Oryctolagus cuniculus: one gene and its partners. The protein of the gene in region 6 binds, or shares a complex with, the protein of the main gene of each other region. Links are inferred from orthologs where the notes say so. Each region holds a gene or a part of one and is shown on either strand. Other genes may lie near its edges. The genes, in order: FBXO11, TRIM21, BTRC, FBXL17, CCNF, CUL1 and FBXO10.

The links.
Region 1: CUL1 (region 6) and FBXO11 share a complex: the UniProt entries of both Homo sapiens proteins name them as parts of the SCF(FBXO11) complex. The link is inferred for Oryctolagus cuniculus from reciprocal best matches to the Homo sapiens genes CUL1 and FBXO11.
Region 2: CUL1 (region 6) and TRIM21 share a complex: the UniProt entries of both Homo sapiens proteins name them as parts of the SCF(SKP2)-like complex. The link is inferred for Oryctolagus cuniculus from reciprocal best matches to the Homo sapiens genes CUL1 and TRIM21.
Region 3: CUL1 (region 6) and BTRC share a complex: the UniProt entries of both Homo sapiens proteins name them as parts of the SCF(BTRC) complex. The link is inferred for Oryctolagus cuniculus from reciprocal best matches to the Homo sapiens genes CUL1 and BTRC.
Region 4: the proteins of CUL1 (region 6) and FBXL17 are in contact, whole or in part, in a cryo-EM structure (PDB 8UBT), measured with the Homo sapiens proteins. The link is inferred for Oryctolagus cuniculus from reciprocal best matches to the Homo sapiens genes CUL1 and FBXL17. Residues at the interface, in NP_001357589.1 of Homo sapiens: Thr54, His143, Arg147, Asp150, Glu151; in NP_001156787.2 of Homo sapiens: Pro325, Ser327, Leu330, Asp358, Phe359, Gln360, Asn387.
Region 5: CUL1 (region 6) and CCNF share a complex: the UniProt entries of both Homo sapiens proteins name them as parts of the SCF(CCNF) complex. The link is inferred for Oryctolagus cuniculus from reciprocal best matches to the Homo sapiens genes CUL1 and CCNF.
Region 7: CUL1 (region 6) and FBXO10 share a complex: the UniProt entries of both Homo sapiens proteins name them as parts of the SCF(FBXO10) complex. The link is inferred for Oryctolagus cuniculus from reciprocal best matches to the Homo sapiens genes CUL1 and FBXO10.

The regions. Positions count from the first base shown.
Region 1 is NC_091433.1:155,062,257-155,065,756, reverse strand, and holds part of FBXO11 (F-box only protein 11), read right to left. Parts: intron 3,186-3,500; coding exon 3,079-3,185; intron 2,998-3,078; coding exon 2,886-2,997; intron 2,800-2,885; coding exon 2,693-2,799; intron 2,612-2,692; coding exon 2,474-2,611; intron 1-2,473. UniProt on the Homo sapiens protein: Substrate recognition component of a SCF (SKP1-CUL1-F-box protein) E3 ubiquitin-protein ligase complex which mediates the ubiquitination and subsequent proteasomal degradation of target proteins, such as DTL/CDT2, BCL6, SNAI1 and PRDM1/BLIMP1.
Region 2 is NC_091432.1:62,639,570-62,643,525, reverse strand, and holds the start of TRIM21 (E3 ubiquitin-protein ligase TRIM21), read right to left. Parts: upstream 2,801-3,956; 5' UTR 2,642-2,800; intron 1,331-2,641; 5' UTR 1,283-1,330; coding exon 875-1,282; intron 70-874; coding exon 1-69. UniProt on the Homo sapiens protein: E3 ubiquitin-protein ligase whose activity is dependent on E2 enzymes, UBE2D1, UBE2D2, UBE2E1 and UBE2E2.
Region 3 is NC_091446.1:28,367,130-28,371,198, reverse strand, and holds the end of BTRC (F-box/WD repeat-containing protein 1A), read left to right. Parts: intron 1-3,234; coding exon 3,235-3,441; 3' UTR 3,442-3,569; downstream 3,570-4,069. UniProt on the Homo sapiens protein: Substrate recognition component of a SCF (SKP1-CUL1-F-box protein) E3 ubiquitin-protein ligase complex which mediates the ubiquitination and subsequent proteasomal degradation of target proteins. Recognizes and binds to phosphorylated target proteins.
Region 4 is NC_091445.1:30,492,115-30,495,614, forward strand, and holds part of FBXL17 (F-box/LRR-repeat protein 17), read right to left. Parts: intron 3,099-3,500; coding exon 2,956-3,098; intron 1-2,955. UniProt on the Homo sapiens protein: Substrate-recognition component of the SCF(FBXL17) E3 ubiquitin ligase complex, a key component of a quality control pathway required to ensure functional dimerization of BTB domain-containing proteins (dimerization quality control, DQC).
Region 5 is NC_091450.1:32,842,571-32,846,070, forward strand, and holds part of CCNF (cyclin-F), read right to left. Parts: intron 2,719-3,500; exon of another isoform or gene 1,738-2,718; intron 1,667-1,737; coding exon 1,567-1,666; exon of another isoform or gene 1,506-1,566; intron 1,438-1,505; exon of another isoform or gene 1,065-1,437; coding exon 937-1,064; intron 330-936; exon of another isoform or gene 139-329; intron 1-138. UniProt on the Homo sapiens protein: Substrate recognition component of a SCF (SKP1-CUL1-F-box protein) E3 ubiquitin-protein ligase complex which mediates the ubiquitination and subsequent proteasomal degradation of target proteins.
Region 6 is NC_091434.1:174,808,388-174,811,887, forward strand, and holds part of CUL1 (cullin-1), read right to left. Parts: intron 2,265-3,500; coding exon 2,214-2,264; intron 2,025-2,213; coding exon 1,934-2,024; intron 1,294-1,933; coding exon 1,130-1,293; intron 1-1,129. UniProt on the Homo sapiens protein: Core component of multiple cullin-RING-based SCF (SKP1-CUL1-F-box protein) E3 ubiquitin-protein ligase complexes, which mediate the ubiquitination of proteins involved in cell cycle progression, signal transduction and transcription.
Region 7 is NC_091432.1:200,314,158-200,317,184, forward strand, and holds part of FBXO10 (F-box only protein 10), read right to left. Parts: intron 2,921-3,027; coding exon 2,607-2,920; intron 435-2,606; coding exon 253-434; intron 1-252. UniProt on the Homo sapiens protein: Substrate-recognition component of the SCF (SKP1-CUL1-F-box protein)-type E3 ubiquitin ligase complex. Mediates the ubiquitination and degradation of BCL2, an antiapoptotic protein, thereby playing a role in apoptosis by controlling the stability of BCL2.

The DNA of each region.
Region 1 (3,500 bases), on a different chromosome or scaffold from region 6:
TCTTTTCTCAAACTATTTAGGTCTTATTAGCACTGACAAAAGGGTACTCCTTCATGCTCTAATTCAATTTTTAAAAAGAGCCCTGATTTAGGGTTCCAGGCACAAGCAATGAAAATAATTTTCTTTCCCATTGACAGCTTGTATACATGACTTCGATGTTCCTAGGTTGCTTGGTTAACAGAACAGCAACTAAACCTCACCATCCACCTATTTGCCACCATGTTATTACCTCCTTTCCCATCTCTTCCATCCGCACAACAAAAAACTGTTGCTACTGGGGGCCAGTACTGTGGCCTAGTGGGTAAAGCTGCTGCCTACAACACCAGCATCCCATATGGGCACGGGTTTATGTCCCGGCTGCTCACTTCCAATCCAGCTCCATGCTAATGTACCTGGGAAAGTGGCAGAAAATGGTCCAAGTGCTCGGGGACTCAAACAGCAGATGGAAGCTCTCTCTCTCTTTCAAATAAATAAATATATAAATGTTGGAAAAAAAAAAAAAAAAAACTGTTAGTAGTGCTGTGCTTGGACTTCGAAAATGATGCCTAACAAAACTTCTGCAGAACAGTTTTGGAACTGACATTTTATTATCACTGTGTTTCCTATTAAAGTTCTGCCATTTAAAAAAATTTAAGAGGAAATGTGGCGCAGTGGGTTAACACCCTAGCCTTGAAGCACTGGCATCCCATATGGGCACCGGTTTGAGACCCGGCTGCTCCACTTCCAATCCAGCTCTCTGCTACGGCCTGGGAAAGCAGTAGAAGATGGCCCAAGTGTTTGGGCCCATGTACCCGCATGGGAGACCTGGAGGAGGCTCCTGGCTTCAGATCAGCGCAGCTCCAGCTGTTGAGGCCAATTGGGGAGTGAACCATCACGGAAGACCTCTCTCTCTCTCTCTCTCTGCCTCTCCTCTCTCTGTGTAATTCTTTCAAATAAGTAAGTCTTTAAAAAATATTGAAAGTAATGAGAAAAGAAAAATCAAAGATGTCTGAAGTGTAAAGACCAAATCCTGTTTTACTTTAATTTTTATGTATACTTACTTTTATTTATTTGTCTGCATTTCATAAATACAACTTCAGGAACATAGTAACCTGCCTTCCCACCCATCTTCCTCTTCCCTTCCTATTCCAAGTTTTATTTTTTTAATAAGATCTATTTTCAATTAACTTTATACACAAATGACTGACTATTCTAGGTAAAGAGTTCAACACTGGGGTGGCACTACGGCATAGTGGGTAAAGTTGTGGACTGCAGTGCTGGCATCCCATATGGGCACCGGTTCAAGTCTTGGCTGCTTCTCTTCCAATCCAGCTCTCTGCTTATGGCCTGGGAAAGCTTGGGCCCCTGTATCCATGTGGGAGACCTAGAAGAAGCTCCAGGTTCCTGGCTTTGGATTGGCCCAGCTTTGGTAGTTGTGGCCATTTGGAGAGTGACCCAGCAGAAGGAAGATCTCTCTTTCTACCTCACTGTAACTCTGCTTTCCAAATAAATAAATCTTAAAAAAAAAAGAAAAGAAAAGAAAAGAAAAGAGTTCAACACTTTGTTTGAGAAAGAGAAAGAAAAAGAGAAGGAAAAAAAAAAAAAATCCCTGTTCCTCAATAGTCCAGACAAGAGCAGTTCAAAGTCATTGCATCTCGCAGTTAATTTCGTTTTTTTCCTTCATTTTTTTCTTTCCTTCTCTTCCTTTTCAGAAACTTAATAATCTTTAAAGAAGAACCCAAGAATGACACATCTTTTGTGAGCACTTAAGACATAACTTATGAGGTACGGCGCCACGGCTCACTAGGCTAATCCTCCACCTTGCGGCGCCGGCACACCGGGTTCTAGTCTCGGTCGGGGCGCCGGATTCTGTCCCGGTTGCCCCTCTTCCAGGCCAGCTCTCTGCTGTGGCCCGGGAGTGCAGTGGAGGATGGCCCAAGTACTTGGGCCCTGCACCCCATGGGAGACCAGGAGAAGCACCTGGCTCCTGGCTTCGGATCAGCGCGGCGTGCCGGCCGCAGCAAGCCGGCCGCGGCGGCCATTGGAGGGTGAACCAATGGCAAAAGGAAGACCTTTCTCTCTGTCTTTCTGACTGTCCACTCTGCCTGTCAAAAAAAAAAAAAAAAAAAAAGACATAACTTATGCGACTTAAGAATATCCTCCACTTAATACACTAAAATGAAGTAATTTTTAGAGAACAAGTTCTAGTATTATAGTTACACTTACATTTTATAACTAACAGAGATTACATCTTCTTCTCAAATAGCACATCAATTCTCTAAGGATTTCATTGCATCTACATAGATATGTTTGATGCATGAATTCATAAAATGAATACTGCATATCCATTCTAAAATACCTAAATTTCTTTTAAACCTATATTCTTTAATTCAGATACTATGGTGATGAGAAAATAATGATGAAACACAGCTAAACTTGAACTGATACAGAAGTCAACTTTTCTATTAAGAATAAATGTGCTTAATGTTCTTACCATGCCATGATCAAATGTGAACACACCAACATCACGTCCATGATGAATATGATTTCGTCTAATGATTGGGTTTCCATGATTTTTAACCCAAATCCCAGCTAACGCATTATTGGAAATTTCATTATCCTCATATATTCCCTACAACAATAACCAAGAAATAAACATTAGTACAGCTTTAAAAATAGTATTTTAAAAGAGAGAAACAAAATTTTAAAATACCTGTGCATGATCTGTTATATAAAGCCCAACATTTTCACAGTCGCTGATGTTACAGTGCTTGATAGTGGGACATGCTCCTTGACCACTAACACATACTGCAGAACCAACTGTAAGGAAAAAAATCTATTAAAAACCCTATTGGACAACAACACAGTGACTCAATTTTATTATGAAAGATAAAGGAAACACTAACCTGTACATGTACTTCGGATGATACAGTGATCAATAATAGGGCTACAATTTACTGTAATCTCTAAGCAGTGGTGTGCATTGTGGTGCTGAGCAGATTTGTCATCAGGGTTAAACTGAAAAATAGAAATTTTATTTGCAATAACCACTGCCTTGATGATTTCAACATGTATATTTTAAATATTAAAATTTCTTACCCTTATTGTCATATATCCAACATAAGCATCTTCAGAACCTTCCATAAAAACGAAGGTTGAATCTCTAGTGTTTTCAATTATAACTTTGTCTGCTACTTTTCCTGGTGCTGTAGAGAAGATATTTTAAAGCATATTATCTTAACTCCATTTCAACAAATAAATACTTTTATGGAAGGGAAACTTTTTAAAAACTTAAGTACTGAGTTGTAGGGCTAATATTCAGACTATTGGTTATATATGTTTCACCAGCTTTTATTGTAAGCAGCCATATTTAACAATTAATTTAATGTGATTAGCAATAAACTCAAATCCATATTAAAAATACTTCTAATAATTACAATTCTAAGTGGTTTCTTGTGGAAACAAAATCATGACTAACAAACAGTAGCTCCAGAAAAAGCAGCTCAGAAAAAGAGAAAAAA
Region 2 (3,956 bases), on a different chromosome or scaffold from region 6:
ATCTATTTCCAACTTCTCTGCCAACTCCTGCTGGCATCTTAGCTTTTTTAATGCCACCTGGAGCTTTTCCTGCCAAAAACAAAGTAACAGGTTAATCCCAACGAAACCAAGAAGTAGGGTGGAGTGGCTTGGGGTGGGAGATGATCATTCTGGTTCTTCAATAAAGCCTAAACACAGAGAAGGAGGGAGGACTGGGGTCTGATTAGGGTAGGCATTTGGTGGATAGGCAGACTGTGGAAAAAGCCCAAATCATGCGTCTTACAAAAAAGAACTACTGGCCGGCGCCGCGGCTCACTAGGCTAATCCTCCGCCTAGCGGCGCCGGCACACCGGGTTCTAGTCCCGGTCGGGGCGCCGGATTCTGTCCTGGTTGCCCCTCTTCCAGGCCAGCTCTCTGCTGTGGCCAGGGAGTGCAGTGGAGGATGGCCCAGGTGCTTGGGCCCTGTACCCCATAGGAGACCAGGAAAAGCACCTGGCTCCTGGCTCCTGCCATCGGATCAGCGCGGTGCGCCGGCCGCAGCGCGCCGGCCGTGGCGGCCATTGGAGGGTGAAACAACGGCAAAGGAAGACCTTTCTCTCTGTCTCTCTCTCTCACTGTCCACTCTGCCTGTCAAAAAATAAAAAAAAAAAAAGAACTACTGGCATGGCAGGATGAGGGCATTTCTCACACCTAATTTATCAGGAGTCCACAAGGAAACATGGACTTCATAGCATTTGCACAGAGTGTATCCACTACTCTAATGAGAAGGTTGTGTTTAGACTGGACATGAAAGGAGGAAAGTATCCCTCTTTTCCCAACCTCTGAACTCCAGAGGTAACAAAACTCACCCAGCCCCTCTCCTTTGGATCTGTCCATGTCTCTGCGAAGGCCTCACCTGGTACTCTTGAGCAGCCGCGTCAATAGGGACTGTGTGGTGCTCACGGTGTTTCTGGTATTGGGCACACACCCAGCAGAGGATTTGCCCATCTTCCTCACAGAACAGGTGAAGTTTCTCTCCATGTATCATACACCGCTGCCCTTGTGGCTCATCCTTGGCAGCCTGGCTGTTTTGTTTAAGGTTGTCCACCACGTTGGCTAGATGCCGATTGGGCCGGAGGTTCCTGAGCAGAAAGTGATTCCGGCACACAGGACAGATACCACCCCCATCTTTCCCAACATTAGAGATACATTCCTGGCAGAAGCTGTGACCGCATTCAATGATCACGGGCTCCACCATGGGATCTAGGCAGATGGCACATGTGACCTCCTCCCACATCATTGCCAGGGGCGTTGCAGAAGCCATGGGAGTGACAGTCCTTGTTGGGCAGCACTGTGCAGACCTTGGGGTGCTCTGGTGGGGGAAGAAGGAACAGAAAAGAAGAGATCTGCATGACAGGAACACAATAATGCAAAGGAAAACAAGATGAGCTGGTGGTGCCAAGCAAGAGAAGACAAGAACATCAACCCAAACAGCAGGAGCCTCTCCTCCACAGTCTGGCCCAGTGATCCTGTTGGAAGAAGGGAGACAGAGTCCTCCAACGAGGAGAAAACGGGGGAGAGACTCAGATAAGTCTGCTGACAATTCTACTTCATCATGTCCATCTGGGTTACATCCTCAGAGCCTAGGTTGGAGGAGGTAATCATAGTATGAGCAGTCATTTACCAGGTGCTTTCTATGTGTCAGAGAGGAGCTATGTGCTTTGTATAATATCTTCACTACTGTTCAATATAATGGCAAGAGTCTCTCTCTGTTCTACTCCCATATATATGAAATACATAAAAATTCATGGGGGGGGTGGCACTGTAGCATAGTGGGTAAAGCCGCTGCCTGCAATCCATATAGGTGCTAGTTCCACTTCCGATCCAGCTCTCTGCTATGGCCTGGGAAAGCAGATGGCCCAAGTCATTGGGCCCCTGCACCCATATGGGAGACCTGGAAGAAACAGTAGGCTCCTGGCTTCTGATAAGCTCAGCTCCACCACTGCAGCCTTTGGGGAGTGAACCAACAGATGGAAGAGCATGCGGTCTTTCTCTCTGCCTCTGCAACTGTGCCTTTCAAATAAAATAAAATCTTAAAAAATTCATAAGGGGTCTTCAAAAAGTTCACAGAAAATGTATACTACGAATGGGTGCATGGATTTCCAATTTTTTGCACCAAAAGTAAATTCCATTTCCATTAACTTTGAAATATTCTGCTACAGATGTGAATATGTCTGTGCACTTCCTCTAGGGCAAAGAATCTTGAACCTAAATAAGTTTCTAATTGAACACCCTAAACAGCCTGCCCTTTCCCTTTCTAGCAGGAGATTGGGGACCAGTTTAGTAGAGTGAGGATTCTTCCACAGGGGGCTCCTCTGGGCACCCACCAGCTCCCTTACACCCAGGGTCACCTTTTCCCTTGGCCCAGTTCAGGTACCTGCACTACAGCAGCCTGAGCTCCACCCATCCCTGTGGTTTGTAAGTCACACTCAGCCCAGCCTCCTCTCAGGCAGACCGGCCAGTGCTGGAAGAATGGCTGGGCTTGGGTTGAACGAGTCGGGGCCAGTGGGGTTGAAGGCTCTAGGGTTAGTGAGTAGCTGGAAGAGAGAATCAGAGGCAGGGGAGAGAGACCCTCCCCCACCCAGGCAAGAAGGGGTACTGTGGTCCTGCCGGGTTCACTCACCTGATCAGGCGATTCAACAGCTCTCTATTTCACTTTCAATTTCCTCTAAGAGGCCAGTCTGAACGGAAAAGGGAGGAGAGTGGGAGGAGAAAGGGGAGGGGCCCCAGGGAGGAGGATGAGGGAGGGGTGGTGGGAGGGACAGGGCAGAGACTGGGCGGGGTCAGGGCGGAGGCAGGGGATGACCGGGTGTAGGGGAGAAGGAGCAGGGCAGAGAAAGAAAAGTGGGAGGAGGGAAGACAGAGCCAAGCCGGGGGAGTTGTCACAGCCCAGTTAAACCTCAGCAACATGTCATCTGGGCGTACACTCCTCCTCCTGTCCTTGTCATCTATCTTAGTGAAAAAAATCGATGCTTTGACACCGGCCATCACCTCGTACCTGAATGCTATGTGCACCTCTGGGAGCTGCTATTCAGGAGGTTTGGATGCAAAGGATGCCTGGCTCTCTCCTTCACAGGCCTCCACCACCTGCTTCCTGACAGCCGAAACAGTTGCTTCCCATCGGACTCATGTTTCTGGTGACCTCCAGGGGTGGGAGATTTATTCCTCAGGACTCTGAGGCGGATATCACATGGGGCAGTGGTAGGAAGGGAGCTGACATTTTATTGAGCACCAGCTGGGTTCTTGTCATTGAGCTAAGGATATTTTCAGGTTATATCATTTTTATTTTTGATATTTAAGATAAAACAAATTTCATGTAACTCATCTACAGATTTAGGAACCTAGTGATACTTCTCATCCTTCTCTCCCTCCTTCCTCTTATTCCCTCAATTTTTAGGATGATCTTTCAGTTTACTGTATAACTCATGAGATTAACTCTTTAGTGTAGGGTTAAATAGAAAAAAAACCACTATTCTACAGTATGTTATTTTAATATGAGACATTTACCACCTTAACCATTTTCAGTTTGCCATTGAATGTCAATGAGTGCATTCACCTTGTTGTGGCACCATCACCACCATCTGCTCCAGAACATTTTCATCATCCCAGGCTGAAATTCTGTACCCAGACAATAACTTACTATTTCCTTTCTCTCAGGCCCTGGCAATCACCATCTGCTTTCTGTCTCTATGAATTTGACTACTCTAGGTGCCTCATATAAGTGGAATCAGCTTTAGAATATGTACCTTCACAGCTGGCTTATTTCATTAATATAACGTCCTCAAGGTTCATCCATGTTGTATCACATGTCAGGATTTCCTTCCTTTTTAAGACTGAACATCCCATTGTATGTACATTTTATTTATCCATTTGTCTGATGTTGGATACTTGGGTTCCTCCTACCTTTTGACTATTGAGAATAATGTTGCTATGTTAGG
Region 3 (4,069 bases), on a different chromosome or scaffold from region 6:
TATTAATTTCAGAGAGCAGACTTCAGAATAAGGACTCTTATCAGGGGTGAAGATGGGTTCTCAGATCACAGTGACCACAATGGAATGAAACTAGAAATCAATAACAGGAAAATAGAAATAGTTGCAAAATGCCAGAGCATCCATGGAGATTAAACAGCATCCTTCTGAGTTACATATGGGTCAGAGAACTTTGAAAAGTATTTTGAAGGGCTAGTGCTGTGGCACAGCAGGTTAACGCCCTGGCCTGATGCACTGGCATCCCATATGGGCACCGGTTCAAGACCTGGCAGCTCTACTTCCAATCCAGTTCTCTGCTATAGCCTGGGAAAGCAGTAGAAGATGGCCCAAGTCCTCGGGCCCCTGCGCCCATGTGGGAGACCCGGAAGAAGCTCCTGGCTCCTGGCTTCAGATCGGCGCAGCTCGGGTATTGCAGCCAATTGGGGAGTGAACCAGCAAATGGAAGACCTCTCTCTCTCTGCCTCTCCTCTCTGTAACTCTGATTTTCAAATAAATAAATAGATCTTTAAAAATATTTTGAACCAAATGAAAATGAAAATATGGCTTATTTAAAAATTGTGGGATGTAGGGAAATTTATAGCATTGAATGCATGTATTAGAGAAGAAAGCTGTGAAATCAATAAAGTTTCTACTTGAGTAAACTAGAAGATCAAATTAAATCCAAAGTAAGCAGAAGAAAAGAAATGAAAAAAATTAGAGCAGAAATCTATGAAATAGGCAAGAAAATCAGTAAGACCAGAGCTGGGAGAGTGGCCATTTAGCCAAGCAGTTAAGATACTCAAATCCTACATCGTAGTGCCTGGATTGGACTCTTGTAATTGGGTTCCTACCATCCACAGGAAAGACCTGTATTAGGTTCCCTGATTCCAACCTTGCCCCCAGGCCCAGCCCTGGCCGTTGCAAGCATTTGTGCAGAGAACCAGCAGATGGAAACTTTGTCTCTCTGTCTCTGTGAGTGTGTGTGTGTGTGTGTGTGTTTGTGTGCGCACGTGCCTGTCAAATAAATAAATTAACCAAAAAGCTGGTTTTCTTTAAAAATATCAATAAAATTGATAAGCCTTTAGCCAGGATAAGGAAAAGAGAGATTAAACAAAATTACAGTATCAGCAGTGAAAGGGCATCGCCACAGATTTCATGAACATTTAAAGGATAATAGAGGAGGCCGGCGCCGTGGCTCACTTGACTAATCCTCCGTTTGTGGCGCTGGCACACCGGGTTCTAGTCCCGGTTGGGGCGCCGGATTCTGTCCCAGTTGTTCCTCTTCCAGTCCAGTTCTCTGCTGTGGCCCGGGAGTGCAGTGGAGGATGGCCCAAGTGCTTGGGCCCTGCACCCACATGGCAGACCAGGAGGAAGCACCTGGCTCCTGGCTTCAGATCAGCGCAGTGCACCGGCCACAGTGGCCATTGAGGGGTGAACCAATGGAAAAGGAAGACCTTTCTCTCTGTTTCTCTCTCTCTCTCACTGTCTAACTCTGCCTGTCCAAAAAATTAAAAAAAAAAAAAAAAAGGATAATAGAGGAAATACTGTGCACAGCTCTTGATGCCCGCAGTTTAATCGCCTATGTGAAACAGAATAATTCCTTGAAAGTTACAGTGCCACAGTTCACACATAAAGCGGTAGATAATCTGAACAGGCCTGTATTTATTAAAGAAACTGAATCAGTAGGTAGCAGCCTTCTAAAACATTTTGAGACCAGGCCCCATTTAAGACAGAAATTTCACCCATTTTCTAATTTCTTCTTTAGGATAAAAGGAGAAAGAATGTTTCCTAACCTGGCCGGCGCCGCGGCTCACTAGGCTGATCCTCCGCCTAGCGGCGCCGGCACACCAGGTTCTAGTCCCGGTCGGGGCGCCGGATTCTGTCCCAGTTGCCCCTCTTCCAGGCCAGCTCTCTGCTGTGGCCAGGGAGTGCAGTGGAGGATGGCCCAAGTACTTGGGCCCTGCACCCACATGGGAGGCCAGGATAAGTACCTGGCTCCTGCCATCGGATCAGTGCGGTGCGCCGGCTGCAGCGGCCATTGGAGGGTGAACCAACGGCAAAGGAAGACCTTTCTCTGTCTCTCTCTCTCTCTGTCCACTCTGCCTGTCAAAAAATAATAAAAAAAATTAAAAAAAAATGTTTCCTAACCCACACTGTGGAGCCAGCATTACCCTAATTCCCACACCAGGCAAAGGTACCACAAGAACAACTTGGTACAGACCAGTATTTCTCACGAACATAGGTGCTCATGTTTGAGCGCCTTTAGATCTTGAATGTAAAACGGGGTAAGCACTGTGGTGCAGTGGGTTAAGTTGTTGCTTGGGATTGAGTCCCATCTCTACTTCCCATCCAACTTCCTGTGAATGCACCTGGAAGACTGCAGAAGAGAGCCCAGGAACTTGGAGTTCCTGGCTGCTGGCTTTGGCCTTTGCAGATAGCAGTTACCTCTTTCTCTGTCTCTCCTTCTCTCTCACTCACTCTCTCTCTATCAAACTGCCTCTCAAATAAATAAATAAATAAAACTTTTTAAAATTATTTTTAAAGACTTATCTGAAATACAAAATAAAAATGTATAAAGAGAATGGTACACTATGATCAGATAACATTTATCTAGGTACAATATGCAAAGCTGCTTTTAACATTAAAAAAATCTAATAATGTAATCTACCACATTGACAGGCTAAAGAAGAAAAATCACATGAGCACATGAGTAGATGCAGTAAAAGTGTTGCAACACCCATTCATGATAAAACTCTGAGCAAGGGAGTAGCCTTGGGATGCAGCAGCTTAAGCTGCCACTTGCAACACTAGCATCCCGTATTAGAGCGCCAGTTCAAGTCTCAGCTGCTCCACTTAACATTCCAGCTCCCTGCTAATGCACTTGGGAAAGCAGCAGGTGATGATGCAAGTACTTGGGCTCCTGCCTCCCTTGTAGGAGATGCAGATGGAGTTACGGGCCTCTGGCTTCAGTCAGACCCAACCCTAGCCGTTGAGACCTTTTGGGAGTGAATCAGCAGATGGAAGATACCTATTTTTTATTTTTTTTTAAGATTTATTTATTTGAAAGGCAGAGTTACAGAGAGACAGAGAGAGAGAGGGGTCTTCCATCTGCTGGTTCACTCCCCAGATGACTGAAACAGCCAGAGCTGCACCAATCAGGAGCCAGGAGCTTCCTCCAGACCTCCCACACTGGTGCAGGGTCCCACAGACTTGGGCCATCTTCTGCTGCTTTCCCAGGCCACAGCAGAGAGCTGGATCAGAAGTGGAGCAGCCGGGACTCAAACCAGTGCCCATGGGGTGCCGGCACCGCAGGCAGCAGCTTTACCCGCTACACCACAGCGCCAGCCTCAGGTATCTCTTTCTGTCTCTGCCTCTTCCTCTGTCACTGTACCTTTCAAATTAAGAGGAAGAAACAACAGAAAACCAGGAATAGAAGGGATCTAATAAAATACCGCTAAAACTTGCCATATAAATGCTTTTTATTGACAGTGTTAGTTGTTGGTAAGAATGTGGAGCAACTGGAACTCTTATACTGCTGGTGTGAGTGTAAATAAACTGGCACAGCTTTTCAAAAACTTTCATAATGGCATCTATCAAAGTAAACATGTACCTACTCCATGGCCAGCAGTTGTACTCCTAGGAGAAATGAGTACATGTATCCCTCAAAAAACATGTGCAAAAATGTTCGTAGCAGCTTTACTTACGATAGCCATAAACTGTAATCAGAACGTGTATGTCCACCAGCAAGAGAATAATAGATCAATTGTAGTACTCTGTATGGTGGAATATCATCCAGTAATACAAAGAAAGTAGACTACAGTTTTGTAGATATAATAATAGGGTGGAATCTTGTAGATACAGTGTCCGATGAAAGAAGCCTTCAAGAGAGAATATAGTCTGTGCATGTCTATTTATATGGAATTCAAGAACAGTCCAAACAAATTAATGGTAGGTTTGGAGTGAAGCTAGTGTCAGCTGGTAGGGGCCAGAGATATTTCAGGATGCAGGAAATGCTCTGCTTCTTGGTTGGGGTGCTGGTTTCTGTCAGTGTTGTGCTGGAACACTCCTGTCA
Region 4 (3,500 bases), on a different chromosome or scaffold from region 6:
GATTTCAACATTGTTTTGCACTAAATACACTTATTTTTAAATTGGTTTTAATAAAGTAATTGAGGCACCCTCGTGTACACAACAGATATTGTGGGGAGCAACTGGGAGCAACTCGGACTAGACTAAGTTACTGGAATTAAGACTTATTTCTATGCATCTGCTCTCCCACAATATGGCGCTGAGAAGGGAGAAACAGCTTCTACACAGCTGCCTCCAGTTCAACCAATAAACTGTAGGACCTACTCCTGATTGGAGGAGAGCAGCGTACTCGGCGTGTGGGTAGCAGAGTTGGGATTGGTGGAAGAGGACTATAAAGGAGGAGAGAGACAACATGCACCAGGAACATCTAAGAGGAACATCTGAAGGAACACCTGTGCAGCCCCAGAGAGAGCCGGCCAGTGGTGTGCCGCTCCCCCGCGGAAGTGGGGAAAGTGGCCAGGGGGAGCGACAGATATTAGATATTATGTCCAGCTCCAGGTCCTCCCACACTTGGTTTGCATGGGGAACACTGGCATGTTAACCATATTGAGTTTTCCAACCCGACAGCATCATATGTCTCTTGTTTATCTAAGTATTCTGTAATTCCTTCAGCACTCTTAAAAATGTCAGCTGTAAGATGGGTCTTCAAAAAATACCATGGAAAATGTGTATTTTGAAATAGCAATGCATGAATTTCAAAAACTTTTGGCCCCCCAAATAAACTTACCTTTTAATTCCATTTTTGCACAAACTTTTTCAAGTAGCCTTATGTAAGTTAACTCATTCAATGGCTCACCATCCTACAAGACAGGTAGTAGCACCTGTGTCACGTTAGGCATGAGGAAATGGACAGTGAGGGCCAACCTGACTACAGAGCCCAGATGTGCGCCTGCACTGTGGCTCCAGGGACCATGTCTTCCTTGTCTACCAACCTCTTTCCTTCACTACTCACATTTCTCTTTGAATCTCACTGATATCTGAAAATCTGGAGATGAATGGCAAAATACAACCTTTGAAAGCTGAATAGCTACTTTAGGTTTCCATCCAACTGAACCAATGACGGGCCTCACTGTGTTTTCTGTGCACCCTGTGTGTGGCTTGGAAACGTCTTTGTTCTCATGGAACCTCTCCTGTTTGGCTCCGAGATGCCTTAAGTCTTAAGGAGATGCATCTCCTTAAGGCCGGGTCCAGCATCCCCTGGGGTAGCTCTTGGCCAGATGACCTCACGCTAGAGCCAATGGGCTGCCGAAGCAGCTGTCTAGCTGGAGACAGGACTCAGAGGCCACCCGCAGAAAGGATAAGACCTCCAGGGATACTGCTAAGCAGAACAGCCTCTCCCTGTCTCATTCTGGACTTACCTGCACTTGCGCAGAAATGCACCCATGCCTAAACTTCCAATCAGTGAGATGTTGGTCTGCAAACCTGTCTGGGACACTCTGCTGTGTCAACAGGAACATACAACTTCTACAGTTCACCTCTGGGGGGTGGAGCTGCTCTCAACAGATCTACAAGGGTACGGAGTAGAAATCTGGTGATCTCTGAGAATGCTGGTAGACGCACAAAGACATGTGCATGCACACAGCCTTGTGTCTGTGGTCAGGCAGCACTCGCGTAGCAATTCCTTCCAGGAGCTGAGGAGCTCTGCTGTCCCTGTCCCGTGTTTCTAGCACCCTGCCCGTTGTGGACCCTTCAACTTGTTCTCAGAGAAGTCATTTGAAAGCAGCCGGGTTGGTAGAGAGCTGAGCGAGACTTGCAACCCCTGGGTCCCAGTGCTGTTGCTTAGTTACAGAGTAAGTCGCTTTCTAGGCTGGGCTAAGAATACATGCTAAAATCTCTCTAAACATAACTAATTGAAAAAGGTCCAGTATAAATTGGGATTTTAAAGCATTCTGAGCAAAGAATTCAGCCAATTAACAAAAATGACAAAGCACATAAGGGCTTTCAGCCATTCTTCTATTGCCCCTACATTTGCCCCATTTTAGAAAACGCCTGCTCTTGTAGAAGCACCCCTAATCACCACTGCCAAGGCAGCACACGTGTGTGAACTCGGGAACGGTGCCAGGATCTGCTGATCAAGGAAGCACCGGAAGTGGTCCGTTACCAAGGAAGCAGGCTCCATGGCCGGACACTGCTTGCAGATTCATCAAGGAGCATGGGACCCAGTCTTTGAGAGCCTGGGGTGAAGTCCTGGCTGAGCAGCCTGGGGCCAGTGCCTGGTCTTTCTTCTCCCCTCCACAGTGCACATAACCATTTCTAAGGTTTGTATGGGACGACATGGAAGTCACAAAGGGGAAGACACCCCTCGAGGGCCAGGGCCTGGGCATCTATATAACTGCTATTATCTTCCCAGTCATCACAGGCCCCCAGTAGACACTGTCCCTGGCCAGCTGCACAGGCCTTCTCCCCGGCCTCTGGGACCATGTCTCATCCTGTGCTAGGAGTGCCATCTGAAGTGTGGGGTCACGCCACTTCCCACACACCTCCTCCCTGGTCCCTTCTTGCCCACACAAGGCCACAGCTCATAGATGTGGGACCCTGAAATTACACACTTGTGAAAAACCAGTTGGGTATTTTTTTTCCACTCTATTGTTGTAGGAAACTGGAAACTCACAATTGAATTTTACTGTTAGACCCTGCAAATTGCAGTTTGCCATGCAACCTTTTAATTTTGGTCCATGGACTTAGGAGTAGCATGTCAACATCCAAGTTGACTGTGTGTATGATTGCATTTTCTTTCTGCTGAAGCACAAAACTCATTATTAAGTCAGAAATGCACAGGTTAGAAAATTAGATCAAAATTGCATATACATACATACACATACACATATACATACATACCTGTGTGTGTGTGTGTGTGTGTGTGTGTGTAGGTATAGATATGGATAAGGGAGAGAAAAGGAAAGGAAAAGGAATATGACATCAAGCTATTTACTGTACTGACAGGTAAAAAACCAGAACTGGATGGGCGACTCTTACTTTATCACATCGCATCAGCCCCAAATACCGCAGGGATTTGCTGCTCTGTGCAATCAAGGTGGCTCCTTGGTCTGTGATTTCTTTACACCATCCAACATCCACAGTCTCTATGGTCATGCTGTAGCGCCCAATAGCAATCAGTGCTGCAGGGAGGGACAGAGAGGCAGAAGCATTAATGCTGGCGGCATCGGGGACCTCCATCTAATTATGACGATTTCTCTCATTTCCTCACTAAATTTGTTCCTGAAATGTTGTGTGTAAATGAATGTTTTAGAAACCAAATTAAATTTGAAATGCTTTAGGAGAGCTTGCCCTATGACAAACCCTTTTGCAAAGTGAATAATCATTCCATAATTTCTCTTTCATTGGATATAACCTTTTATCAGTTTTACTCACTACAAGGTTACCTGCACTTTCAAACATTCATACCTACAGAAGGAATACATTAAAATGAATGACAGCTATAAGTTGCAACAAAGAAACCCCAGCCAAGATAACATTAATAATTGTTTTCAAGAAAAACCCGTGTAAACACCATTTTGAGG
Region 5 (3,500 bases), on a different chromosome or scaffold from region 6:
CTCATGGCCATGTGCTCCCGAGAGGTTTGTGGGTAGAATGGGTGGAAGGCCTCGAGGGCAGGGGCTCGGCTGGGGGAAGGGCGATTTGGAGAAAACCGAGCCTGGGGCAGGGTGTGAACCTGGCCCACTGTGCTGCAGGACCCCACAAAACCACTCGGCCCCTCTGGAAGCTGGGAGGACGATGGCACTGTCGGGTGCCGAGAACAGGAGCTGCAGGCCAGCCACGCTTGGCAAAGGCGGCACCAGGTCTCCCTGGGAACGGACAGGAGGAGAGCAGGCAGACACAGGCGCACATGGGCAGCCCAGGAACCCCCTCCCGGAGTGCATGCGTGAGTACGTGTGAGTGCGTGCACATGTGTGCGTGTGTGCTGGGGGTCTCAGCCTGCGTGTAGTCAGCTTGGGAGGGGCCCAGTGCAGGGAGGCCTCCCATGCTTCCCAGGGAGGAAGGGGGAGCAGCACGCGGGCGTCTGCTGCCAGGGCCCGTGCCCCAGAAACCAGCTGTGGAGGTGGCCTTGCACGGCCCTGTGTGTGACAAGGGTGACAAACCACCCAGGGCCTGCCCACAGCAGCTCACGGGTGCGTGCGGGGAGTCAGAGGCCCTGCTCACGTGGGCTTTGCAGGATCAGTGGGAGTTCTTCAGGGCGGACAGGATGGGGGGGCTTATCCCAGGAGGCACAGCAGGGACACGGAGGCCGGACTGAGGGCCGCGGGGCAGTGGTGCGAGGGAAGGGGGTGGCGCAGTGCCATGGTCAGCTCAGCTTTGCCTGGCCAGCGAGAGGCAGCACAGAGAACGGGAGCCACCGGGGGAGGGCGGTCATCAGGAGGATGGCCCGACCCAGGCTGCCTGGCTTGAGCCCACAAACCCCCTCTGGGGGCCGCAGCGTGGCTGAGGGGCACAGGCCAGTCTACAGCACAGCCCCGGCCCGGAGCACTCACCGTTTGGTTCTCCTCCCAGACGGAGAGCTGAGGAAGGCGTGGATGTCTCCCGCGCTGACCAAGGACGCGGGCTCCGGGCTTTCCTGCTTCACGCCCAGGGCTGCACACAACTGGCTGTAGCTCAGCACCTGGGGGCCCGAGGCAGGGAGTGGAGAGGAGCCCACAGGCCGATGAGGCCCCCGACACCCAGGTGAGCGGGACAAGGCTCCTCCCTCTGGCCCCCGACACTCAGGTGAGCGGGAGGAGGCTCCTCCCCCTGGCCCCAGACACCCAGGTGAGCGGGAGGAGGCTCCTCCCCCTGGCCCCCAGACACCCAGGTGAGCGGGAGGAGGCTCCTCCCTGACCCCTGACACCCAGGTGAGCGGGAGGAGGCTCCTCCCCCTGGTCCCAGACACCCAGGTGAGTGGGAGGAGGCTCCTCCCCCTGGCCCCCAGACACCCAGGTGAGCGGGACAAGGCTCCTCCCCCTGGCCCCCCGACACCCAGGTGAGCAGGAGGAGGCTCCTCCCTCTGGCCCCCGACACCCAGGTGAGCGGGAGGAGGCTCCTCCCTCTGGCCCCCGACACCCAGGTGAGCGGGAGGAGGCTCCTCCCCCTGGCCCCCCGACACCCAGGTGAGCAGGAGGAGGCACCTCTTCCTGGCTGATCTCCTCGTAGCGCTTGTCTTCGAATCGCTGCTTCACCGCCGTCAGGGAGACTTGCCGGTAGTCCTTGGGGGCGTCGTCGTGGAAGCTGGAAACGGGCATGGAGGCAGACTCGTGAGCTCCCCACCCTGTCTTTTTTTTTTTTTTTTTTTTTGACAGGCAGAGTGGACAGTGAGAGAGACAGAGAAAGGTCTTCCTTTGCCGTTGGTTCACCCTCCAATGGCCACCACGGCTGGCGCGCTGCGGCTGGCGCACCGTGCTGATCCGAAGGCAGGAGCCAGGTGCTTCTCCTGGTCTCCCATGGGGTGCAGGGCCCAAGCACTTGGGCCATCCTCCACTGCACTCCCTGGCCACAGCAGAGAGCTGTCCTAGAAGAGGGGCAACTGGGACAGAATCCGGCGCCCCGACTGGGACTAGAACCCAGTGTGCCAGCGCCGCAAGGCGGAGGATTAGCCTATTGAGCTGCGGCGCTGGCCCCCACCCTGTCTTTAGCCTCAACTCACTGACGTGGAGGGGACAACACTTTCAGAGCCATCCCAGCCATAACAGGACATGCTGGGGAATAGTCTGGCGGTCCCCCCAACAACGGGCAGACGGCTCCCACGTGCCCAGCGTCCCCCCAGCAACGGGCAAATGGCTCCCACGTGCCCAGCGTCCCCCCAACAACGGGCAGACGGCCTCCACGTGCCCAGTGGTCTCTCCCACTCTCGAGTGCAGTGGATGGATGGGTGGGTCACCGAAGGCAATGTGGCCACACACCGGGATGTTATCCAGTCACATGCCACAACACGGATGAAGCAACGCATGATGGCAAGAGAAAGCAGTCAGACACAGGCCACGGACGGGGACTCCTTGGTATGGAACGCCGGCATAGGCAGATCCAGCGGCAGGAAGATTGATTACCAAGGGCCAAGGAAGCCGGAGTGAACCAAGCCTGGGGTTTCTTTCTGGGGGGTTGGGGTGGGGGTGCATGTGTGTATGTATGTGTATGTGTGTGTGTGTGTGTGTGTGTGTGTGTGTGAGAGAAAATGTACTAAAATTCACTGGTGGTGGTTACAGGACTCTGTATCTTAAAAGCTTACTATTAGACACTTTTTAAAAGTACGGTTCCTGAATAAAACCTTCCAGTTTCTCTTTGAACGCTGCCATGCAACGCTTTTGGTGTCCACTTGTTCCGGGGGTGAGCGGGGTGGGGGGGACAGACACGCTGCCCCTTGATCCTCACCCCCTTCCTCATCTGCCCGCTACAGAGGAGCCTGGCAGTTCAGGAGAAAAGAGCGGGAAAAGCCCAAGGCAGTGGGTCCCCCGACCGGATGGACCAAAGAGGGGGCTGGCTGCAGGGTGCTGCCATCCTGGAAGCCGGAGACAAGGCTCCGGTCAGCACAAGGGCAAGGGAGGTGCCCACAGGTGGCCAGGCGGCCACCCACGCCCAAGGCCCTGATCCCTCTGTGGGAGTGTGAACTTCCGTGTGTCAGGAAGTTCACCAGACCCAAGAGCTGCCTGGCTCCAGGGGTGACAGAGGCAGACATTCTGCGGTCACCAAATGCAGCCCACAGGCGGAGCCAGCGAGCGAGCGGGCGTCTGCTCAGACACCGGGGACGGGCCGGAGGGAGGCTCAGTGGGACAGTCTGGGGCAGCAGGGCAGAGGCAGCACCAGGCCACGGACCCCAGGGTGGTGAGGGGGACCCCAGAGGGAGGGGCACTAAGCAGCAGGAGGAGCAGAGAGGCTGAGAGGAAGGCGAGGGAAATGGCCGCAGCCGGAACCAACTCAGCACCAGGCAGTCCCTGCCCCGGCCCCTGCTGTTCCCAGCTCACTGCTCCACTAACGGCCCCGGCCCCGGCCCCGGCCCTGGCCCCGGCCGGTCCGCACTCAGGCTAGGAACAGCTGTGCCCTCTGCCTGTGGCCCGATGCTCTCGTACCC
Region 6 (3,500 bases):
CAAAGTCCATTTAACCCCAAAATACACATACACAAGGAACTATTAATATTTCAAGTATAATACTTCTGAACCAATCCATTTTTTCTTAGATTCTGAGCTATCAGTTTTTGTTGTTATTCTAAGCCCCAATTATAACTGCTATCTCCTATGAGACAACACATTCAGAACACCACAAACTGGACAGGACTTTATCGCTTATTTTCTCACATCATACAAGAGGAGGCGAGTCTGCAGTCCCTCACCAGGTGCACAGGGAATAAGATCAAAGCAGCCACCAGACCAACAAGACCCAGACTCCCTAGAAATCTAACTCATCTAGTTCAAGGATCAGCAAACTTCCACGTAGGCCAGATCCAGCCTACCACCTTTGTTTTTCTTCTTAAATACAGATGAAGTGGTACTGGAACCCAACCACACCCATTTATTCACAGGATGTTACGTCTGCTTTTGCCTGCAGCACCAAGAGAGACCACATGGCCCACAATGCCTCAAGCATTACTATCCAGTCTCTGGCAAAAAACGTTTGCTGACTCCTGACACAGGTCTTTCCTCAGAGCCCAAGTCCAGGATTCCTGTATTTCTAAGAAAGTGAATACAGAACAAATCTGTTAGAACTTGGTCATATCACTCGGTACAGAAAAGGACTGGAAACCCTGGTTTAATCTTAGGTCTTGTCCCACATGAGAAACAGGATCCTGCTGTGTCAGAGACTACTCCTCTACCTTCAACCTGAAACTGTTATAGATTCTCAGGGAGACATGTTAGAAGAAAGCAAAAACTTACTCACAAATCTGAGAATATTTGTATCTGAAAATGTTCTCACTAACATGGTAAGACCGAGACAACCCTAAGATATTTACGTTCTAGGAAAAATAGTTCAAAACAAAAGTCACACAGCTTTTATATATCTGTAAAACAGCCAGAACTTTCAGGCATGGTCAGCAAACAAATTTATAAAAAGCTCCCTGGAGAATTAGAAGAAGTATTTACACCTGCTGAAGACATGCTAGGACAACAATGCCCAACAAATGACTTGTGTGAAGAAAAGTGCATATGCTATTTTAAACAGTAACTCATCTGAATGGCACATTTTTAGCTTGTCTACTTTAAGTACTATATTTAAGCTTACCTTTTTCATATATTCGGTAACTGGGTTCTGTTGCAAGAATTCAGTACTCTCTCTGGTATAAAATCTTTCTGTGTCAGCCAAAAATTGAGATTCAAAGGATTCTTTATACACTGTTAACGTAGGGCCCTTTGCAAATGCATCATCTTCATTCAGCCCCAATTCCACTAGAAATAAATATGAGCTGCATTTCAATTACCCTATTTTTTGTTGTATTTCACAGAATATACTTAGATAAAAGATTAAGTTAGGCATAAAGGTAAATGTGAATGGCAGAGCATAAGGTAATTATTATTCACTAATAATAAAGTGCATCGCTCAATAGAAGAAAAAAGCCAGGACACACAAAAATAATTGACTCATACCAGGTATCCTTTAGAATTATCATGAAGTACATTTGGAAAACTTCGTATTTCCAAAAGCAATAAAAACCTCTAATTTAAACTTTCAAAGAAATACCATGCTATCCAAGGTTTTAAATACTGTGTTAACTTATCAGTTCCTCAATGTTTCAAGCTGATAGATTTCTATTTATCATTCAGTTCAATAGCATTCTATCATTAGCCAGTAGCTAATTATGAGATCAGAAAACTCAAATGTCTATTTCATTAAAGTTTCTCAAAGGCATAAGGATCAAACAACTTTTAAGAGGGTAAAATCAAGTAAAATATCACCAAATAGGAATTATGAGTACCTCTGTAAATGCTAACAGTCCTGATGATATTAAATGTTTTTTAAATGAATCTGGTATGGCACTGTTGTGACTGTAATTTGACATGAAAACTCCAAATAACTGAAATTATTTACCATAAGACTGTACAACTCCACTAATCAGTCTTGTATTGATGGTTTCACCATTTCTTTCCTTTTCAATCAGTTTTAAGACAGCATTTGTTACCTTTAGAAAGGAAACATGAAATATATTAGAGATTACAGTATTTAATATTTAATATCCCATGTCCCTTAAACATTCAGAGCCATTAACAATGTGAGATAAGGGATACTCTCAAGATGTTCTAAAGGACAGAGGCAGGAAGCTGGCAAAGGATCATAAAAGAGAACACACAAAGTTCTTCAGAGTGGGTACCTGTTTATTCAATGGCCTGAACAGACAATCTCTCCAAGTCACCAATGCAAGCTGGACAGAAAAAAAGAAAAAAAAAAGTGTAAAATGCCTATACTCACTGTTTTCCCAAGACATCTGAAGTCACAGGAAATAACCTGAATACAAGATGTCATCAAAATGTCCAGATTATAACCTGGCAAAAATTTATTACCATGATGAAATCAGACTACTGCACGAGCTAGAACTTCAAAAGGTATCAGCTCACATTTTAAGTTTAAAGGAAATTTTGCATTTAGAGAGACAATTCATACTGGCTTAAAAGACAACAGTGGATTCAATCTATGAATGTGTTCCCTGGATCAAATAATTTTAATATTTGACCTAAAAGAATAAAGATAATTCCATTTATCATCATGGTTTCCTAATAGTCTGCAAAATAAATTATAGACTATAAAAATCTATCAACTTTCAAGTTCTTTTTTGTGGTGATGGTATACAGATGCACACAAATATAAATAACTTTAAATTTTACATACTTCAAATGGATGTGGTTTACTATAGATTATTCAGATTCCTACTTCTCCTCGCATGTGTTTATGCATATGTGACTTCTTTTTAATGAAAACATTCAAAGATGATATGGTTTATTTTATCCATTTCTCTAAACTCCCCACAGGAGTCATGTTAGCAAATTAACTAATAATATAAAACATTCTCTGAAACAGGAATATTAGAATTCATACATGGGTATTATTTGTTGGGAGATTATCCAGTTAAAATGAAATTCAGATTTTTTAACACAAGAATACAAAATGCTGAGAAGTTCATTTAAATATAAACACAATCAGCCTTACTTTTCCCAAATTTAACTAGAGGTGCAACTGGGTTTATATTCATATTGTATTTATGAAAAGGTTATATGCAAATTTAATCTATATAAAGAACTTCAAAGTAGCAATTCTGCTAAAAATGTAAGAAATAACATGAAAGCAATATTAAAGGAAATATTAATAACACATAATATACACTCGAGCCTAACATAACAAGGTAGAATGCGTGGGTTTTGAAGGTAAATTAAAGAAAGGTGAGCCATGACAGACATACTCTAGAAAGTACCCTCTACTTCCTCTGTACTTTCTGTAACTATTGTTAAACATAGTACAGGAGAAGTTAAAAACTAGGGATTTTTAAGAGTCTGTGGTTCAAGAGAAATCTCAGACATGGAAAGCCAAGACACTGTGGCAAAAAATGACCTCAATGAAAGATCTGAGGGAGACCTTGGTGGAAAGAAGAGGCCATCAAAGGAGG
Region 7 (3,027 bases), on a different chromosome or scaffold from region 6:
CAAAAGGGGAGATAGTAACAACTAGATTTCACTAAGGCTCAGAGGTGTCTCAGTAACTTGCCCAAAGTCACACAGCCAGTACCTGGCAGAGATGAGACATGAAACCAAATACCCTGATGCTCAGGTCTGTTCCCTCCCAGGGAGTCAGGTACAAGTTCTCTGGCCAGGCCGCCGGGGCAAGGGCAGCCGGGTCACTAGGCCTGCGTCTGGCTCCCCAGCGACCTCATGGTTCGGGCAGCGCTGGGCACTTACTTCTTCCTGAAGACCAGGAACTTGTTGTTCTGCATGACACAGTCCCGGTTGTTTGCGATCTGCTGGAAGATGGTCTTGCTGGTCTTGCCCTGGAAGATGATGTTATCCTGCACCAGGGCCTTGGCGCGGCCCCGCACTGCGATGCCGTAGGCCCGGAATGAGTGGATCCGGTTCTTTATTACCTGGGAGAGGCAGCCACAGCTTGTCAGACCTCAGGGACTCAGGCAAGTGAGTCACTTACATGGTAAACTATAAAACCGAGGTGGTAAAACATTCTAGGTGGGGGCCAGGGCTGTGGCGTAGCAGACAAAGCTGCCACCTGCAATGCCGACATCCCATATAGGCGCTGCTTCCTATCCAGCTCCCTGCTGTAGCCTGGGAAAGCAGTAGAAGATGGCCCAAGTACTTGGGCTCCTGCACCCACATGGGAGATTGGAAGAAGCTCTTGGCTTCAGCCTAGCACAGCCCTAGCCATTGTGGCTAGGGAGTGAAACAGCAGGTGGAAGATCTCTTTGTCTCTCTCCTTTCTCTCTAATGCTTTCAAATAAATAAATGTTTTAAAAAAAAAAAAAGACAAAGACAAAAGAGAAAGAGTTATTTCCGGGTCTCCCACGGGAGTATGGGGCCCAAGGACATCTGTTGTCTTCTGCTGCTTTCCCGGGTGCATTAGCAGGGAGCTGGACTGGAAGTGGAGCCATCAGGACACTGGTGTCCGTATGGGATGCCGGCACTGCAGGAGGCTGCTTAACCCTCTGTGCCACAGCACCGGCTCTGACTTTCAAATAAATAAATAAATCTTAAAAAATAATAAGCTAGGTAGGTCAGCCGAGAGCCAAAGGAACTCAAGGAAGAGCAAGAAGACCAGCCTGGAGGAACCAGGGAAAGCTTCCTGGAGGAGGTGATGTGTTAGCTGTCAGAGTTACCAGGTGCAGAGCAAGGGCGAGTTATTCCAGGAAGAAGCCACGTGCAAGGGCTGGTAGAGAGGAAGCTGGTGCCGGAAGCCAGGGCTGCTGAGACCCAACTGAGGCCGCGGTGTGGCCCTCGCTCCCTGTTTCCACAGCACTCGGAAGCCAAGTCGAGGAGTTCTCTGCTCCTCGCCTGTCACTGCTTGTGCAGCTGCAGAGCTGACCAGAGCCTCTGGGGCCCGATTCCACCAGGGCAGGGACCGGGTCCGTCGGGGAAGCCGTGCAATGGCCCCAGCGCAGAGGTCTGCACACGGAGCTCGGCGCTCACGGTGTGAGGCGCAGGCAGACAGGCGAAGGAATGGGTGTACGGCACTGCGGGAAGAGGGGCTCTGCGAGGGGCAGCTACCCCGACGTCCTAAGAGGCGCCTCAGACAGCTGGAGGACTCGGAAAATTGGGGCAGGGGGTTTCCAGCGCACGTGGAAGAGCATGTGCAAAGGCCCTGAGGCAGGATGTCTATGAAGCACCCGCTGCATGCCGGATCGTGCACAGATCATTCTCCTGGGGAAGGGAGCTGAAATAGTTCTGACCCTGACCCGGGACCAGGAAGACGCCTCAGGAGGCTTCTAGCACCCCCGGCCTCCTGTGGGTGAACTCTCACTCAGCCTTCAGGGCCCAGCTTGCGCGTCCCTTCCTATGTGCGGCCCCACTGGCATATCCAGGGGCACGTCTTGGCAGGAGGGACGGCATCCCCTGCAGAGCTGGGAGCTCGTGCTTCTGCGCTGGGCAGAGGGGCACACGCCGCAGCCGTGCACGCGCCCTCACCTTGGTGTCGGGCACACGCCGCAGCTGTGCACACACCCTACCTTGGTGTCGGGCACATGTCACACAGCCGTGCACGCACCCTCACCTTGGTGTCGGGCACACGCCGCAGCTGTGCACACACCCTACCTTGGTGTCGGGCACATGTCACACAGCCGTGCACGCACCCTCACCTTGGTGTCGGGCACACGCCGCAGCTGTGCACACACCCTACCTTGGTGTCGGGCACATGTCACACAGCCATGCACACACCCTCACCTTGGTGTTGGGCACTCGTCACACAGCCGTGCACATGCCCTCACCTTGGTGTTGGGCACTCGTCACACAGCCGTGCACATGCCCTCACCTTGGTGTCGGGCACACGTCACACAGCCGTGCACGCGCCCTCACCTTGGTGTCACACAGCCATGCACACACCCTCACCCTGGTGTCGGGCACACGTCACACAGCCATGCACACGCCCTCACCTTGGTGTCGGGCACATGTCACACAGCCGTGCACATGCCCTCACCTTGGTGTCGGGCACACGTCACGCAGCCGTGCACGCGCCCTCACCTTGGTGTCACACAGCCATGCACACACCCTACCTTGGTGTCGGGCACATGCCGCAGCCGTGCACGCGCCCTCACCTTGGTGTCGGACCTGGGCAGCAGCTGCAGCCCGCTGCCCCGGTTGCCGATGATGTCGTTTTCAATGACGACTGTGCTGTCGCCTTTGGTGATGACGCCGTGGCCTCTGTTGTCATAGATGCCATTTCCCCGGAGCTCCACCTTGCACTGGGCCTCGACCTTGACCCCACTCTGGCGGTTGCAAGAGATGCTGTTGTTGGCCACGCGGGTGAGCTGGCTGCTCTGGGCCACGGTGATGCCCCGGTCGCCATTGGCATGGATTACGTTGGCGGTGACGTGCAGGGCCTCGCTGCTCTGGACGTAGAGTCCTGAGGCTACGGGCAGGGAGAGCACAAGGTGGTCCCAGAGTCAGCCCTGACAACACGGGTGGGCAAGTCTGCCCTGAATCACACGCCCCGGTGGGCGAGCCTGAGTCGGCTCT